Drosophila melanogaster: one gene and its partners. The protein of the gene in region 2 purifies or fractionates together with the protein of the main gene of each other region. This does not show direct contact. Each region holds a gene or a part of one and is shown on either strand. Other genes may lie near its edges.

What was found.
Region 1: the proteins of S6kII (region 2) and Rbcn-3A purify together in Drosophila melanogaster (affinity purification with mass spectrometry, with the first as the bait; one large-scale study listed by BioGRID). This does not show direct contact.
Region 3: the proteins of S6kII (region 2) and larp purify together in Drosophila melanogaster (affinity purification with mass spectrometry, with the first as the bait; one large-scale study listed by BioGRID). This does not show direct contact.

The regions. Positions count from the first base shown.
Region 1 is NC_004354.4:6,252,441-6,257,213, forward strand, and holds the start of Rbcn-3A (Rabconnectin-3A), read right to left. Parts: upstream 3,048-4,773; 5' UTR 2,909-3,047; coding exon 2,822-2,908; intron 406-2,821; coding exon 188-405; intron 124-187; coding exon 1-123. Other genes in the region: Spx (spliceosomal protein on the X), read left to right, coding at 3,471-3,504, 3,579-3,662, 3,721-4,646.
Region 2 is NC_004354.4:22,528,363-22,536,008, reverse strand, and holds the start of S6kII (ribosomal protein S6 kinase II), read right to left. Parts: upstream 6,046-7,646; 5' UTR 5,659-6,045; coding exon 3,507-5,658; intron 3,154-3,506; coding exon 2,570-3,153; 3' UTR 1-2,569. Other genes in the region: CG17600 (uncharacterized protein), read right to left, coding at 6,618-6,739, 6,797-7,267, 7,428-7,646.
Region 3 is NT_033777.3:28,333,394-28,338,326, forward strand, and holds the start of larp (La related protein), read right to left. Parts: upstream 3,048-4,933; 5' UTR 2,615-3,047; intron 2,149-2,614; exon of another isoform or gene 1,861-2,148; intron 1,315-1,860; 5' UTR 1,126-1,314; coding exon 316-1,125; intron 1-315. Other genes in the region: Gfat2 (Glutamine:fructose-6-phosphate aminotransferase 2), read right to left, coding at 3,900-4,274, 4,477-4,933. UniProt on the Drosophila melanogaster protein: RNA-binding protein that regulates the translation of specific target mRNA species downstream of the mTORC1 complex, in function of growth signals and nutrient availability.

The DNA of each region.
Region 1 (4,773 bases), about 16 Mb from region 2:
GTGGGCGACTTGCTCTTCCACAGCTGGATGTTGGTGCCGCCAGTGAGGAGGCGGGTGCCCTCCAGATTCCAGGACAGGGTCACCACGTTCGAGTGGCTGGTGAAGGAGCCCGTTTGCACCCATCTATGGGGGTATGAAAAAATAAGTTAGTATGTCTTTGGGCTTCTTAATACCATCGCTAGCTTACCTGTAATCCAGAAAGTGGGTATTGTGTTTGCTCGACTCAATCACCGGCGTGGGCTCAAAAATGCATATCTTATTCTCATAGGCTGCTGCTATTTTTCCGGTATCGGTGCTGCAGTCCAGGGCGGATATCTTGACATAGCCATGGTTGGCGCCCGGAATGATCTGGACGCGCTCGAAAGTGCTTGCCAGGATGACCACATTGCAGCCGGCGGCGTAGGCCTGATAATAGGAGGGGCGAAATGGGGATTTTGTGAGTACTGCAGTTAATCTAAGCGTTATACGATCGGTATGTGTTTTCTCAGTTATTTGTTTTTGAGTGGCTATGTGTATATAGGGCGGGTGGGTATATAGCTTTATATCGATAACAATACCCCAACTGTCCAGTTAACTGGCTTATCAGGCTGGCTGATGACAAGGCTCTTGCCACATCATGTTTGGTTACCTGGTTAGCTAAAGTGTGTTTGATTTATTTGTTGAGCTGTCGCTGATATGCTCATTATCGTGGCCAGAAATTTGAATACCCTGTTCGAGTGGGCTAGGGAGGGGGTACACTATTTATAGTGGAAACACTATTCATGTTAATTATCTCTAAAACATTACCGCATGACGATCTGTGGCAAAGGATCATTAGTGCGGGTGTAAAGGGTTGAGTCAGCAGGCTTTATCTTTATAATTGGCTCATTGATGCGGGAGATTACAGATACCCCGTTTAGTTACAATAGCGATAAATGGGGAATATCAACAGAGAATCTGTTTGCAATGGCTTATCGCGATATTGGAATGTGAGCCTTATTTAGCTAGTTAATGAATAAAAACATCATTTCATAAAAACAAGGGTATTAACAACTTCGTCACTACACACTACACACCTGCTAACTTTTTGACATAAAAAGGTTCAACTACTCTGCTTTTCTGTCGTGTTTATATTTAGCTTTTTGCTTTCCGGTTTTCCCATTGCTTTAAATGTCAGCTTATGATGGGTTTATGCGTTTAACTGAGAATATTACCCATTAAGTAAACACACCGATGATACTTTTCAATGGAGGGTTTTCCGAACTTTTCGCTTACCAACCCATTAGTGTTCCCGCGGATAAGATTACTTTATATAAAACTTTGTTACCTGCTGAAAATAAACAGTGATTTTTTTACGGTATCCTATTGTAGTATTGCTATACTATTAAAATTTGACTTTAAATGCGGTTTTAATGAGTTTATTATTTTTGGTTTCCCCTTCCAAACGCTAGGTGGCGCCAGGGGAGTGTGTTCGTGCCGATCATATACTAAATAAATATATGCATACACACATACATCCACACATATGCAAACACTCGAAATTAAACAAATTGAAATGATGGCAAATGATATGGCGCAAGGCGGTGGGCAGTGGGTGGGTGTTGGGTGGTTGGTGGTCGGTCTGTGAACGGGGGACTGTGTCAACGGCGGTGCTGATTACAGAATAGAATATAGTAGAATATAGAATATATATATAATGTACACATACGCCCCGTGGGGCCTCTCATTAGAATGGCAAAATGTGCACAGTAGTTAATTATGCTTCCTTGGGTTTTTGCAGGAAAACACAGACCTTGTTCTCTACATCGGATAAACATTCTGAGTAAACATATAGTACACATGTCTCAATGGGTGTAATGTTTATAAACTCGAAGTTGACATAGCGAAGTTTATAGTGAGCTCTTCAACTTTTTCCTGTTACCGTTAAAGGTTTTAGACACGAAAATGGCCAGATTGCTAAGAGTATTTGGTAGTATATAGTATAGGGATCGAATAAGGCACATTATAAATGCGTGCTCACGTTTTTTTATTATGGCCGTTTATAATTCCAATTTGCCATTGACGTGGGTTGGCGAAAGGGGTTGCGGGGCGGGGGGTGCTGCCATAGAGAAAGGGTTCGTGGGAAGGGGAAGGTGGGCAGCCTGCAAGCTGCGAAATTAGGGCATCAAAGGCCACCTGACCAATCGAAGGGTATACACACACACATACTCGCACTTATATATATATACATGCGTATATACTTTCAAGCACACACTCTCACTGCAACTGGCGCATGTGTGTGTGTGTGTGTGCGTGCGGCTTGTTTACTGCCAGCACTTGACCTTAAAAAAATAAAAATGTAATTAATTGCTGGCCAGGTATGTAAATGCAGGTGAAAACAAACATTGTGTTGTATTTGTTGTGCCACACAACATACACACACACACACTCGAGCTGCACACTTTGTTGTTATCGAATTTTTGCACAGCGCCAGCCAGCAAACACGAAAAGTTCTCTATCTCATCATTTGCATTTGATTTTTTAATTGACCACCAAGTGTGGCAAAAAAAAACGATATAAAATTCAACACACATTCACACACACCGCACACACGCACACCACACACACGCAAATATGTAAATAAAAACATTAAAGACGTGCTCCGATCGGTTCTTGTTGGAATGACGACGATGGTGATGATGATGCCCCGTTTCCAATTGGAAACGGTTCAACCTTTTGAACCAAGTGTGCGTGGGGGGGTTGGGGGGCGTGTCCGGCTGGTTGGGCCGATAATGGTGCACATTCCGCCACCGATTTTCACCCAATTCGATCCGGATTCGGATTGGGATGGCTCTGTGCTTACTGTAAATGGTATTCCTTCCACGGAGCCAATGGCGAAGCACCGGTCGCCTGCATTGCAAGCGCCGCTCAAAATCTGATGACAATTCATAATTTACACACAGTTGATTATCACATCACAGCGCACGGATATTGGGGTCTTGGTTCTTTGGTTTCTAGCACGAATTTTCCTTGCTTCTTGTAACAAACGACAACAAAGTGACATTACATAAAAATTAGAGTTGGGTTCTTGGCCAGCGCGGCCAATCGAACTATCGATATTAGGGATGGCACGGCATGGGAGGCGAAATATCGCCTGAGTAATTTAAATACGGTTACTCCAATTAACCGAAAAACTGTTTATCATTTAATTAAAATATTATTATTAAAATATTTCATTTTATTTTCAAAAAATAGAGGTGAATATTTTAACCTATTGAAATTATATTTAATTATTCTGCTTCGTCTATATTTAGTATTTTTTCTAATATCCGTTCGATTTGATTCGATTTCGATATCAATTTCGATTGCCAATAAAAACGAAATCGTGGAATATATATCGATTCATGGTATCGATAGGCTGTTTCGATATTCAGGGTTGTGTTGCGAGCATTTTTGCATGTTGAAAACGCCGAAAATTAGTTTTTGGTTTTGTTTATAAAAATAGCTCCGAAATGGCGGCAGGTCCAATTGCTGAACGCAACCAAGGTGGGTTTGACCTCCACTCCACATTTGCACCACTTGGGAGACGCTTTAACCCGCCTTTTCCGTTCCTTCCACAGATGCCACCATCTATGCCGGCGGTCTTGACGACAAGGTGTCGGAAACGCTGCTTTGGGAGCTGTTTGTCCAGGCAGGACCAGTGGGTAAGTCCCGGACACACATGTATAGTGCCTAGCAGCTCCCTAATCGTCATGCTTGCAGTGAACGTACACATGCCCAAGGATCGTGTCACCCAAATGCACCAGGGCTATGGATTCGTCGAGTTCCTCAGCGAGGAAGACGCCGACTATGGAATAAAGATCATGAACATGATCAAGCTTTACGGCAAGCCCATTCGCGTGAACAAGGCGTCGGCGCATCAGAAGAACCTGGACGTCGGCGCCAACATCTTCATTGGCAACCTAGACGTGGAAGTGGACGAGAAGCTGCTGTACGATACGTTCTCCGCCTTCGGCGTTATACTGCAGACGCCGAAGATCATGCGAGACCCAGAGACGGGCAAGTCTAAGAGCTTTGCGTTCATCAACTTTGCCAGCTTCGAGGCCAGCGATGCGGCCATGGACGCCATGAACGGCCAGTACCTGTGCAACCGTCCCATTTCCGTGTCCTATGCCTTCAAGAAGGATCACAAGGGCGAGCGTCACGGTTCGGCTGCGGAGCGCCTGTTGGCCGCCCAGAATCCATCGACCCATGCAGACCGGCCGCATCAATTGTTCGCCGATGCACCGGTGCAAACCATGATGCCCCAGATGCCGGGCCAGATCCCGGCCCAGATGCCGGGCCAGATGATGCCGCCACCCATGATGGCGCCGCCGCCGCCGGTGGTGCCCGTTTCGAATAACAATATGGGCATGCTAGCACCGCCGCCGCCCGTTCCCCAGCCTGCACCGTTCCCAGCTACGATACCGCCGCCTCCGTTGCCACCGATGACCGGCGGACAGCCGCCGCTGCCGCCAGCAATGGGCATTCCGCCGCCGCCTCGCATGATGCAACCAAATGCATGGGCACCGCCCGGCATGCCTGCTCCTCCGCCCAGACCACCGCCCACCAACTGGCGTCCGCCGCCCGTGCCCTTCCCACCCACGCCCTACGCACGGCCCTATCAACCCGACGGCTACCAGTACTAAGTCTAGCGTGTAGTGTATACCAATTTGGACGAGACGAGAAATAAACATCAATAGGATTCATCAATGAAGCCTGCTCTGGGATATGTTAAGATTTCCATTCTTCTTTCTAATATGCATTTAACAACCG
Region 2 (7,646 bases):
ACATTATAAATGTATTTTGGATATCCCAATTAGATCGAAACAATTCGAATTGGTTATTTGTTTTTCAATTAGGTTCCTTCTGCTTGGTTTGAAAAATTCAACTTAACAATAATTTCGAATCAGTTTCGTTGAATATGTTTATTAATTAAATGATTCATATCGGAATTCAATCATTTGAATGTATGTATAGTCTGGAAGCTGTTAAAATCTACTAAGAAAATATATTCACGCATTCATATATATGATTAAGATATATATGTATGTTCTTGGGGAATTTAGTCGAGAGTTGGCTTTAAAGTGGGTTGCTTGTATTGTATGCTTAAACTATCTGTTGTCTCTGTCCTTTTTGTGCAACCCGAACATTTTTGTAAGAGACCGTTCGGAATTATTGATAAATGATTACAGTTTTTATCATAGTAGGCCACTTTTGTATACATGAGTTTTAATCTAATCGCTGGATTAGATTTCTCATCAGCCCGTGGACTAAAATTCTTTTTCTGCCTGTCTCAACTTCGTTTTATAATTTGTGTATGAATCTGTTAAAAAACGAAGCAGGGAAACGACGTATCCCTTCAATTTGGTTGTCGTCATTTCAAAACAAGGTAATTAAGTATAAATCATTGCTGTAGACGCAACATATTTTGCAAAAGTTTATCGTGACAACTATTAGGCGAAATGTTCATCTCAAGATCCTTCTTAAATATTTTCTATATTATATGTCAATGTGTACACATTGTTTTCCCTCCGCAGCTAGCTAATTATATATGTACTTTAGGATAATCATACCATTTTCCCCCTCCAACTCCTTTTAATAACACCACGAAAATACAGTTTTATTCAAGGGATGTTATCCTTTTTTAAAAAATTTCTAAGTTTTACTAACCTTGTTTAGGTGGTGTAAATATGTATATGAAGTTATTGTTTTATTTTTGGTAGCAGTAAGTTCAGTAGTGGCACAGCACAATAATCCTTTAGCACACACACACATGCACTTACAAGAAGCACACACACAGCCTCTTATGCACACACACAAGCTCGCAAACAAGAAACTTCTGCTTTTCAAGTGGCATACATAGCTTCTAAGGATTCACATGGCTCTTCTACATAATTTATTCAATTTCGTTCCACTTTGCTTGTATTTTCTTTTTTTTTTTTTGTATATTTCCCTCTAGCATAATTTTAACAAGTTTTCCTTGGCAAAAATACAACAAAATTGGAATTGTCTTCGAAGAGTCGAAACAAGTTGTTGGGAACTGATGATCGTGCAGTTTTTAGAGAAACTAGCACAAACAAATGGAATTCTCTGCATTAACCCAAGTCGTTTATACGACGCTATCCTATTTGTATTCAGTACGAGTATGATGGAATATATCGCGGTTTCGGTTCTAAATCATCCAATGGTAAGTCGGAACTTTCTATATCTGGTTACAGCGCAAAAAGGTATATTGTTTGATATAATTTCTGTTGGAAGACGTTAGCAAACAAAATGGAAACCCAATTTGATGTTGTCACAACTGTTTCCCCGGCGTTATTACAACTAAACTGTGCGTTTCGCGACTGTAAGACAAGTTAGCAGGATTTACGTTTCTTAATTACAATTAAATAACAATATGCACCCTTGTGCAGTGTTGGAAAGAACGTCGGTTTTTATTGTTTAGGGAATTATTAATAAAATACTCTTTTCTAATATCCTTTGCCTTATAAACCCGAAAAGCACAGTTTCCGCTTTATGTACACATTCTGTATAATATGGTAGTTATGTTTATCTTTTGCTTAGTTTCATATTTCATTGTGCAAATTGACATTCCAAGTAAGAATTGTGGAAACTCTTGTGGTTTGATTTTCTTATCTTTCTACACAGTTTTTTTTGGGTTCTTTGTTCTTCCTTTATAGTTTGGCGAAAAAAGTTATTATTATATAAAAGGATTGCGGCTTTTATTCTTAATTTTTGTTTGTTTTGCTAATACTTTTTTCCATTTTTTTTTTCATTTTAATTAATTTAATTAAGCAACAATAACACGGTGATGTTGAAAAATTTAGCTACGATTAATTTAATTAAAAATATGTAAACTTGGGCGAGAGGCTTTTTTTTAATTTCCAGTTTGGGATAAATAATGTGGTTTCAGGAATCATCTGGGATGATCCTGGCGCCACATTCACACGCGCTCTCTAGGCCCTTGCTTTAGGATTCGTTATATAAATAGCTATATATAGATGTATATCAGTATTTGTATAGTTATATATATGTGTATATAGATGCCCCGCACAGTGCGTTATGGCCTTGGCATATTGGCATGCTTTCATATAAAATAAATAATTAACACTTGTCAAATACTTTAGGTTAGGCCGATTCCCCCAAAACCTAAACCACACGCAGCTTGGCGCTGCGGCAGCGTTGGCGAGGATTGCCCAGCGTTTGTGGATGTGAACCAAGCTTCTGCGCATTGTCCTTGACAAGACGACGCGGATTGGCACAGCAGCATTGGATTAGAATACTATAGATTCGGAAAAGTAGTCGGACTATCTGCCGCTTGGCCTGGCGCCGCGGACACCATGCAGCCGCCCAGGATTAGGAGTGCAGGTTGGCTCGATCTTTGGCCCGCCTCTTGGCGAGCATGGAAAGTTCTACGGGTCCCACATTCGCCGCCTGGGGTATGGCAATAGCCCGGAAAGTGGCATCAACAGCGCCTCTTAAGGCCATGGAGATGTGATTCTGCTGCTGCTGCTGGGCGCCCAGCGAAAGTTGGGATCCGGGCGCCACCGCATACTCTGTAAGCTGTACGCCGCCGGCGAATTGCTCCCGCAGCCAGTCGTGCTCAAGTATTCGCGCCGCCGTCGGCCGATTCTCCGGTACTATGTGTAGCATCTGACGCAAAAGTTCTTTGGCCGGCACACTGATCAGTGCCCAGCGACTGCTTGTGAAGTCAATTTGTCCTGATCCGATGCGCTTCAGTATTACGTCCGGTGAATCATTTGGAGTGCTGGCGAAAGGCGTCCGGCCGGATAACATGATGTAAAGCAGCACACCGAGCGACCAGATGTCGCAAGCCAGGTCATAGCCCTGTCTCTTTAGAACCTCGGGAGCCACAAAATTGGCTGTGTAGCATGGCGTCATCAGGAGGCCGTTGTCCGCGCGCAGCTGCTTCGCGAAACCTAAGCGGAAATCGGAAGGTTACTCCTGCTCTACCAACAAGAAATACTCGCACAGAAAAATATATAGCCTTGCAGAAATAAATGCTTTCTGAATTTAAATATTATCAAATGATTTCAATTGCAATAGGATGGAACTTTGGCTAAATAAGATCTTAAAATGAAAAACCTTCTGTTTGGAGAAAAGAAACCTTTAAAATTGCAAATAACAAAGTAACTTAGAAAACAAATAATAGTTAAAGGAATTAAAAATTACGAAAGTTTAGCTTTTAAAGTGAATCATGTTTGTCAGCAATTGGAAAATTTACTGCAAGGCTATAATAAAATATATTTAACTAGTTCCGCTCCGCACTCACCCAAATCGCAGAGCTTTAGGGTCTCGGGAGTTTGCCGCATACTGGCATATATCATATTTGAAGGCTTAAGATCTCGATGGACCACGCCATGTTCATGGAGATATGCTACCGCAGATGCAATTGTCCTTAACACCGCGCTGGCCTCACTCTCGCACATCTGGCCCACGGCAAGTATCCGATCGAGAAGCTCGCCACCCTTAAGCAGCTCCATCACAAGATATGCGGACCCCGCATCCTCGTAAACAGAGTACAGAGTGACGATATTTGGGTGGTTGCCGTACCTCAGCATAATCTCCACCTCCTCCCAACAATCGGCAGAAGTGGATGTGGATGCTGCGGCCACAGCTGCCTTTTCGATTACTTTTACTGCGTAATGTTTCTTGGAGGCTCGATGCTCGCACAACCGACAAACTGAAAAGGTTCCACGTCCCAGTTCTTGCAGTAGATTATATTCCGCATGGAAGTTTCCGGGAAGAACACCAGGTAATGTTCGAGGGGCTCCCACTGGAGCAGCAGGAATAGGAGCTATACTATGCAGAGGACTGGCGCTGGTGGAGCACATATTCGAGCCAGCACACTGACCTTCCAGAAGGACAGGAGCCACAAAGCTGAACCCGCGGAAGATCTCATGGGCAGATGCGGAGATCGGGCCACCCGGAGAATCCCTGGGGGACTTTGAGGTGTACTCCACATCAAAGTAAAAGGCATCGTCACGGCTAACCGCCGGTATGAAAGGCGGACGCACCTGCTTTCGTTCTAATCTCACCCAGTCGATGGTGGCAAAAAAGCAGTGCGCCTTGATGTCCAGAATTCCTTGGGCACCCGCACCCAAACGATTCTGGGGGTTTCTTTTGAAGAGAGCACGTAGCAGGGATTGCGCCTCTGGCGACAAATTCTCCGGCATGCCCAGCTTACTTCTAAGGATCTGATTCATAGTCTCTTGGCGGGTTTGGCCATGAAAGGGTAAATTCCCCGTTAACATTTCGTACATGAGCACCCCGAAACTCCACCAATCAGCGGCAAAATCGTGTCCCTTTCGGTTCACGATCTCCGGCGCCATGTATTCTACGGTTCCACAAAAGCTATATGTTTTTGAGCCATCCAAAGGCTGCTTGGATAGACCAAAGTCCGTCAAGGCTATATGGCCATGCTCGTCCAGTAGAATATTTTCCGGTTTCAGATCCCTGTAGATAATGCCCAATGTGTGTAGGTGATTCATAGCTAGCGCCAGTTCCGCTAAATAGAACTTGACATCTTCTTCCGTAAACATTACTTCTTTGGATAGACGGGTAAACAGATCACCGCCACGAAGAAAATCCAGTATCAAGTAGAGTTTTCCGGGAGTTTGGAAGGCATAGTGAAGACGTACGATGAAAGCATGACCCACGTCCGCTAGTATTTTTCGTTCATTTGTGCTCCTTACGCGATCTTTTACTTTTAGGGTGGCCTTTTTGAGCACCTTCATGGCATAGAGTGTTCCTGCATCTTTGCCTATGATCTTTCGCACTAGAAACACCTTTCCAAAGCTACCTTCGCCCAGAACCCGTAGGAGCTCGAACTGGGAAGGATCGGCCTTGTCGTGACCCTCCTTGATGACTTCCTTAAGCTCGAATTCGTTTTCTGTTTCATATAGGGGCTCGGTGTCTTCTAAATCAGGTGCACTTCGCCCAGTAGCCCCTTCTCTCCTACCGCCAGTTTCCACGCCTCCCTGGGACTCGGAATCACTCAGCTCCATAAGTTCTGGCGGCGGGCACAAGGTTCGATGCGTCGGCCTTTTCCTAGCGGAATCCAAGTCTGCTGTTGGTGAGATGTGATGCTGCTCGAGGGCCGCTTGCAGAGCAGATTGCTGTTGCACCTGTTGCAGCTGCTGGCGGCGTTGCGATGATGTCACAGTGGTCACCGAGGAAGTGACACCGCTGTTGCCTCCGCCACTCTCATCGTCCTCGGTGGGCGTGTGCTCCATGGGCGTGACCGCCAGGCTGCTGCAGCCGGACGAGGTAATTTGCATGCGCTGGCGCAGCTGCAGACCCAATCCGCTGCTGCTGCATTGCTGCTCCGCATTGTTGCTGCTGCTGGTGGAGGACACATGCTGCTGCTGCTGCTGCTGCTGAGGCTGCTGGCGGAGATCCTTTTGCGAATCGGCCAGCGGCATGACTTCGGTGGCTGCTAGCGTTGTGAGGCAACTGCTCCTAGCGGTTCCTTTGTTTCCAGATCCTGATGCACAATGCTAGAGCCCGAGTTCCCCCTGCGTTTCCAACTCCTCCTGCTGCTCCTCCTCCACCGAACTCTCCCTACTTCCGATTTCACTTTTCTTTTTTATTACTTCCGCTGCGTGGGCGTCGCAGTCGACTGCGCTGTTGCCTCTCCGGATTTCTCTGGTTTCCCTGCTGCTCCTACGGCCAACAAGCAGCGCTTTCCTAATGCGCCCACGTTTCGTACGCCGTCTGCTTTACTATCCGCTTCGCAATCCGCACAGCTGTGTTGCTTCTTATCACTATTATTTACACATTCACAATAAAGTTTTTTTAGAGCTGCAAAAAAATCGATGTTACCATCGATTACATCGATAGTTTCAGTTTTCCGAAAACATCGATTTACTTTTTGCAGCCGATGTTTTTACTGTGCGTATTCAGCAAATTTTTGTTTACACTTTTAATACATTCTTTCGGTTTTAAAAGTCTATATAACTCAATTAAAAAAAAAAAAACATATAAATATAGTTTTATTTGAGAATGATTTGGCCCGTGTGACCGTGTCTAGCAATATACCAAACGCGAAAAATACCAATTCATTACGAAAACGTCGTCACGAAACAAGTTATCTTGTGTAAACCGTCTAAAAACCGTTATTATAAATTTCTATATCCCTTTTATATTGATTTCCGGAAACTTTGCTAAATAAATACAACGGTTTTGCAGACTTACTTACTTATATTAGCCGCAACATTCCAAATTCAATTGGTAAAAAACTAATGGATATCGTACAAGCGCTTTTAAAAACAATAAAAAAAAAAACATTGTGCTTATAGATTCAGTATTATTATTGCTTCAAAAGTGGACAACAACCACTTTTCATATATAAAAGTAGGAGTAGTAGGAGTAGCTTACTTACTTAGTGCAAATCTGAAGGGCGCAACGATAGACGGATACAATACTGACCACAAAATGAAGAAACAGGGCAAAAATTAGGCCGCAGGCAGCGGAAACCTCGCTGTTGGTATCGATCAAGTCGAACTAGAATGGATGAAACCATTAAAAAAACATGCCTCAATGCGAAGAGCCCGGCTTTACCTGTTCACCCTTTTGCTCCGCCATCCTGTTGAGGTCCCTTGACAATCCCACGCCGGAAATAGCCAGAGCCAGGGTGCTGCTGGCGATGCAGACCAAACTGAGGGCCAAAAACGCTGTCTGGGTTTTGCGCATGCTCACCACTCCAAGGGAGCCCGTAACGGCTGCTATCAATCCCGTCCAGATGCCGCATCCCGCCAGTGAGAGCGCTGCCTCTCGGACGATCAGAAGTGATCCCAGGGCCACCAGCGATATGGCCAGGAGCAACTGGAGAGTGCCCAACACTATTTGCAGTGGAAATGCCGAGCAGCATTCATTGCTCGCCTTGCGCTTGCGCCGATCTTTCGAGGAAAGCGATGAGCCACTGCCTCCACCCTCGCTGCCCTCCTTGTACTTAATAAATTCCGGTGGACAGCGCTGTTTACGACTGATCCTGGAGTCCAAAGTGGTGGCCCCACTCTTAGTGCCATTCACCTGCACAGAAGAAAAAATGTGTTTGGTACAATATTCGATTGTCTGAGGATTAATGAGAGCAAGGCAGTACAGAAATGGACAATTAAAGATTCTCTAGCCCTATTAGGTGATTCAACTGATACAAATTGATTAATTTTGGTTGACTTTTTGTAGGACCTACCTGGTTTGGTTGCCGCGAAGCAATAGCTTCCTGCAGCTGTTGTTTGAACTCTTGGTGCGAAATAAGATTGGGCTTATTATCGTCATCATTGTTTGCCTGGGATTTTTGGGCATCCAAGTCTAGGGCGGCGGATAGGAGTTTCACCGCCGGCGGCTTCTCATCGTAGACAGGACTCGAATAGATGTGACTTTGGGCATCCTGGCGCGCCTGCTCCTGGTC
Region 3 (4,933 bases), on a different chromosome or scaffold from region 2:
TCGTTATTATTAGTTTAAGGCATATTTGCATTGACTTTTGACTAGATTATATTTTAGCAAAGCTTTTCATTTGCATTTTCCAATGTTTTGTTCGAGTAACTAATTTTTGTCAATGCAAATGTACCTAATTCTATTCCGGTGCACTTCTAAATCTTCTGGATTTTTGAATATATTAAGATTTCCAATTAGGAATATCCAAAGAATACCAATCAATGCCTGAACAACTCTAATGAAAACCTATCCTAATGAACCTACCATTCAAGATACCCCAAAATACAATCAATCACTTAAAGATTCAATCATTTGATCACTCACCTTCCATGCGTTGACCTTGGGCGGTGGGGCGGCAATGAATCGCTTGGGCGGCGGAGCTGCTCCAGCGGCGCCTTTCTCGCCCGCCTGCTGATCCCCGTCGGCGGACTTGGCCTCGTTGCCGCTGCTGCCGGCTCCCTCGATGCTGGCACTGGGCGAGGTATCCTTGCGATCCTTGTGTACTTTCGGTCCACCAGGAACGGCGGAGGACACAGCTCCAGCATTGGATCCGGCTGCGCCAGCAGCTCCAGCTGCCGATTTGCGGGGACTACCGCCGCGCGGCGCACGTGGGCGCACTGACTTGCGTTCGGTGTCGGAGGATCCGGGGACGCGGCGGCCACCAGCCTGCTGGGGTTTCTGACCATCGCCACGTCCTCCGGCCGGCTGCTGATCGCGCGGCTTCTCTTTGCGCGCCTTTTTGCGATCGCGGCGGTGATGCGATAGTACCGGCACGAAGTCGTTGTTGTCGTCCAATTCCGATGAGTTCTCGGCGGTGTTATCTCCACCGGAGGCAGCGGCACGCTTCTCACCCGTCTGGGCTAGGCTAACGCTGCCGACGATTGGCGATTCGCCGGCTGCCTCGGCGGCAGCGGCTTCCTCGCTCCACGACTTGAAGCTCTTCAGATTGGGCTGGTTCTCTTTGTTGTCCACGGTGGCTCTGGCGGTGGTGGTGGTGGTGTTGCTGGTGCCGGACTTCTTGGTCTCCAGGTTCTGCACCACATTGGCGTAGGAAGTGGTGGCGCTGCCCGAGGCGGCGACAGTGGCCACAGGAGCGGCACCTCCCGTGGATGGCGTCTCCTCCTTGCTGGACATGCTCCTCAGTTGCGGCTGCTACTCCTGCTGTTTCTTTGACTCCGGTTTCCTCTCCAGAGTGGGCAGCACACTCGCTGCTCCTGCTCCGGCTACGTCAGCGGCTGATCCTCGTTGTCGGGTTGGGGAAACTCTTGTCTGCTTCCTTGCCTGCTCAACGGGATGTGGTGGCTCCAGAGATAGGCTTCCAAACTGAAATGGTTGGCAATAGAAGGATTAGTTTTCACAGGCCTGTTTGGTAGGAACAAGAGGAAAATCCAGGCCAAAGACTACAATTACGTCATTTTATAACTTTTCCACGCAGTGTTACTATAGCTAAGCTTGACTGTTTTGGGTCATTTACATATAGAACTATTCAGGGCAATTCTGCGGTCAATACTAATGCAATTTGTATAGTAATTTGCATTAACTTAAACTTTTAAGTGAGCTAATAAATTCAAGTCAACATCTCGAGTTTTAATGGCCTTATTGGCCGTAGAAAAATAGACTTTTGAAATTAAACTGATACCAATGCAAAGAAAGAGTGGAATGGAAACTAAAACCTCTTTACTAAAACTAAAGAATGGCCATCTAAGCCCAGCTTTACTGTGCCTACTAGGATTTTCCAACAAGATTGCGAGTTGGGCGAACGCGAGGTGTTTGTTGCTCAATTACGGCGATTAATCTCAAGTTCGCCCTTCTGCAATAATATTTACATCTTTACTTAATGCAACTATTACAGCACACACACATACGCACATACACTGCACTTTGAACTTGGGGCTTTCGCAATGGGGATTACTATTCTTGTGGGACTGCAGAAGAGCCTCCCGAGGAGTGCGGTGATTTTTTAGGAACTGGCCATCGGAAAAGCCTCTCCCAGCGGCCGTTTTCTCGATTTTCCTCAGCTGTCACGCTCCTCGGCGAATTGAATTTACTGCCACGGATTTTGCACGATTATATACTGCAGTTTGGGCGAGCGGAGAAAATCCGTTGCGAGGCACGACCAATCGTGAATCGAGAGGTATTATATTATTATGCAGCAGCCACACACAGCAGTGTTCCAAAGAAGAAGAAGAAGTGAGGTTAGATTTTTGCCCCACACAAGAGGAAGAGGAAGCAGCAACACAACGCTAAGCGACCAGGGCTGCCGCAAAGCGAGCTGCCCACTTGCCAAACTGGAGTACAACGTAATGGCATGGCGTTGAACGTAACCGGTAATACGACAGGAAATCGAAGCGAATTAAAGGTGCAAATAAAAGAAACTGCGTTTATAGCTACAATTTGGTTTTATTATACCCTGTGGCCTACCACAATATCCCTGTTTTCGCTTCACCCAATATTATGCAATATCCAATGCACTCGGCTAACGGCCTGCATTGCTGTTAGTGCCGCCCTGGTCGGGCCTTTTAAAACAGCTGATTTCGACTGCAGCTCGCCTCGAATTTCAAAACGATGCACGCGGTCACACACACATACACAAGTTAAGGTTCAGATTGATTTGAATACGCACCAGAGGAGATTGAAATGGAAACAAGAATTGTATTTTATTCCGCTATCTCTCCCACTTCTTGTTTCGTACGTTTCGTATGTTCACTACGCACTTTCCGCTCCGCGTGTTAACACGTACACAAGTGTGTGTGTGCGTGCGTGTGTTGTTATTGTTGCTTTGCTTTTGCTTTTGCGGGTTTCCTTGCACACACACTTTCGCACCACTACGCACCTCGAATCACTGCCTCTCGCTCGCACTCACTCACGCGCTGCTGGGCAGAACGTTACGAATATTATTTATCGGGTTTTTTCGCAATTGCACACACACTCGCTGCGTTATTGGTTGCACCGTACTTGCGCCGTTCACTTGTCTTGTCAATTAACCGCAATTAGTCAATTAATTGGAGCATTATACCGCCGAAACGAAAATCAAAATCGGTTACCAGACATGTGGTTCTACGGGTCCAAAAGAAAAAGAGCAGGGTTGTTGTTCAATTCGTTTGCGTTGCGTTGCGATAGATATCGACCGATGTGATAGCTACGGTTAATAGAGATGTCCCAACCGGCTCGCAACTGATTTAATTTATTTAATGTTGTTTTTAAATATGATTTTGAAATATCTTCCAGAAAGAATTACTTTTCGAGAACAAACTTATTTTTTCCCCATTTACCACTTGATTTGAAATTGAAAATAGGACATTCAAATTTATGCGGCTTATCGATTTCACACTACTTAAGTGCTCGGAATATCATTTATTTTTATCAGAATTTATTTTTATTTAGTTTTATCAGAATTAAATATATATGTAATTTTTCTTTTTCTAAAATTTACAACGTGATTAACATAACGTAAGCAATAACGTGACGTGGCCCTCGTTTTTTAAACATTTGAAACAAATGTTTAATGTCAGATAAGCATTTTTTGTAAAGTGAGGTACATATAGATCTTTGTTTGGTTTTTCCCGTTTTCAAACAAATTTACTGGTTAAACATTTTCCAATCCATTTTTAATTGAAAGCAGCAAAACACTTTTAAAGAAAAACTGGAAATAATTATATTTCAATTGCACATTCACAAAAAGTAGTGGGTCCACAACACAAAGGGTCAGTACAGCTACAAATGTAGGGGTTAAACATATGTGGCTTCAGCCAGAAGGAGCACAAATGGGTTAAGGGTTCGGATTTTGATCCGACAAAATACCAGAAAATTTTAACTTAAGTGCTAGGGTTTGTTTTGTTTTTCTCAGGCAGATACTAAAATGGAATTCTTGAGACGGTGCGAGCCAGTTAGCCAGATAGTTGGGGCGCCTACTCCACGGTCACCGACTTGGCCAGGTTCCTGGGGCAGTCCACGTCGCAGCCGCGGAGCACGGCGATGTGGTAGGACAGCAGCTGGAGCGGAATCACCGTGAGCACGCCCTGCAGGCAGTCCACGGTCCTCGGGATCTGCAGCGAACGCGTGGAGAAGGACATGGTCTCGTTGTCGCCCTCCTCGCAGATTAGGATCGGTCTGCCCTTGCGGGACGTCACCTGCTGCAGTGCATTCATGCACTTGGTGTACACCGGATCCCGCAGCACGATCATCAGCACGGGCATCTCCTTGTCCACCAGGGCCAGTGGTCCGTGTTTCAGTTCTCCAGCCAGGATTCCTTCGCTGTGCATGTACGTCAGCTCCTTGACTTTCTGCAATGAGCAAGTTAATTGATTAAATTCAGCTCATGAAGCGTGGGACAAACATAATAATTAATTTAAGTGCACTTGGCAAATAAACAAGTTAAGTGAATTGTTGACATCGGTTATTTTCCATCATTACGTTCCCATGCATGCATTACGATGCATAAATGAGATTCGATTAAATTATAGCTCAAATTATCAAATGGATTACCAGTGCGCCCTCCAAACAGGTGGCGAAGTTGAAGCCCCTGCCCATAATGAGCAGCGACTTGTGCTCGTACAACTCCTTGGCAAGCTGCTGCACCTGCGAGTTCAGCTTGAGGACAGTCCTAATGTGCTCGTCCAGCTGCGATAGGCCATCGATGATCTCCAAGCGGCGCTGTTGCAGCGAGAGACGATCCTCCGACATGACCAAGGCGAACATAACCAGCGAAATGAACTGGGAGGTGTAGGCCTTCGTGGAGGCCACTCCGATCTCGGGTCCAGCGTTGATGTGGACGCCACAGTGCGACTCGCGGCAGATGCTGCTGCCCACCGTGTTGGTAACGCCCACGATGAGCGCTCCTCGCTGCTTGCAGTATCTGAGCGCCATCAGGGTGTCCGCTGTCTCGCCCGATTGGGAGATGAAGAAGCACACGTCGTCCCGGAAAATGGGCGTGTTTCTGTCC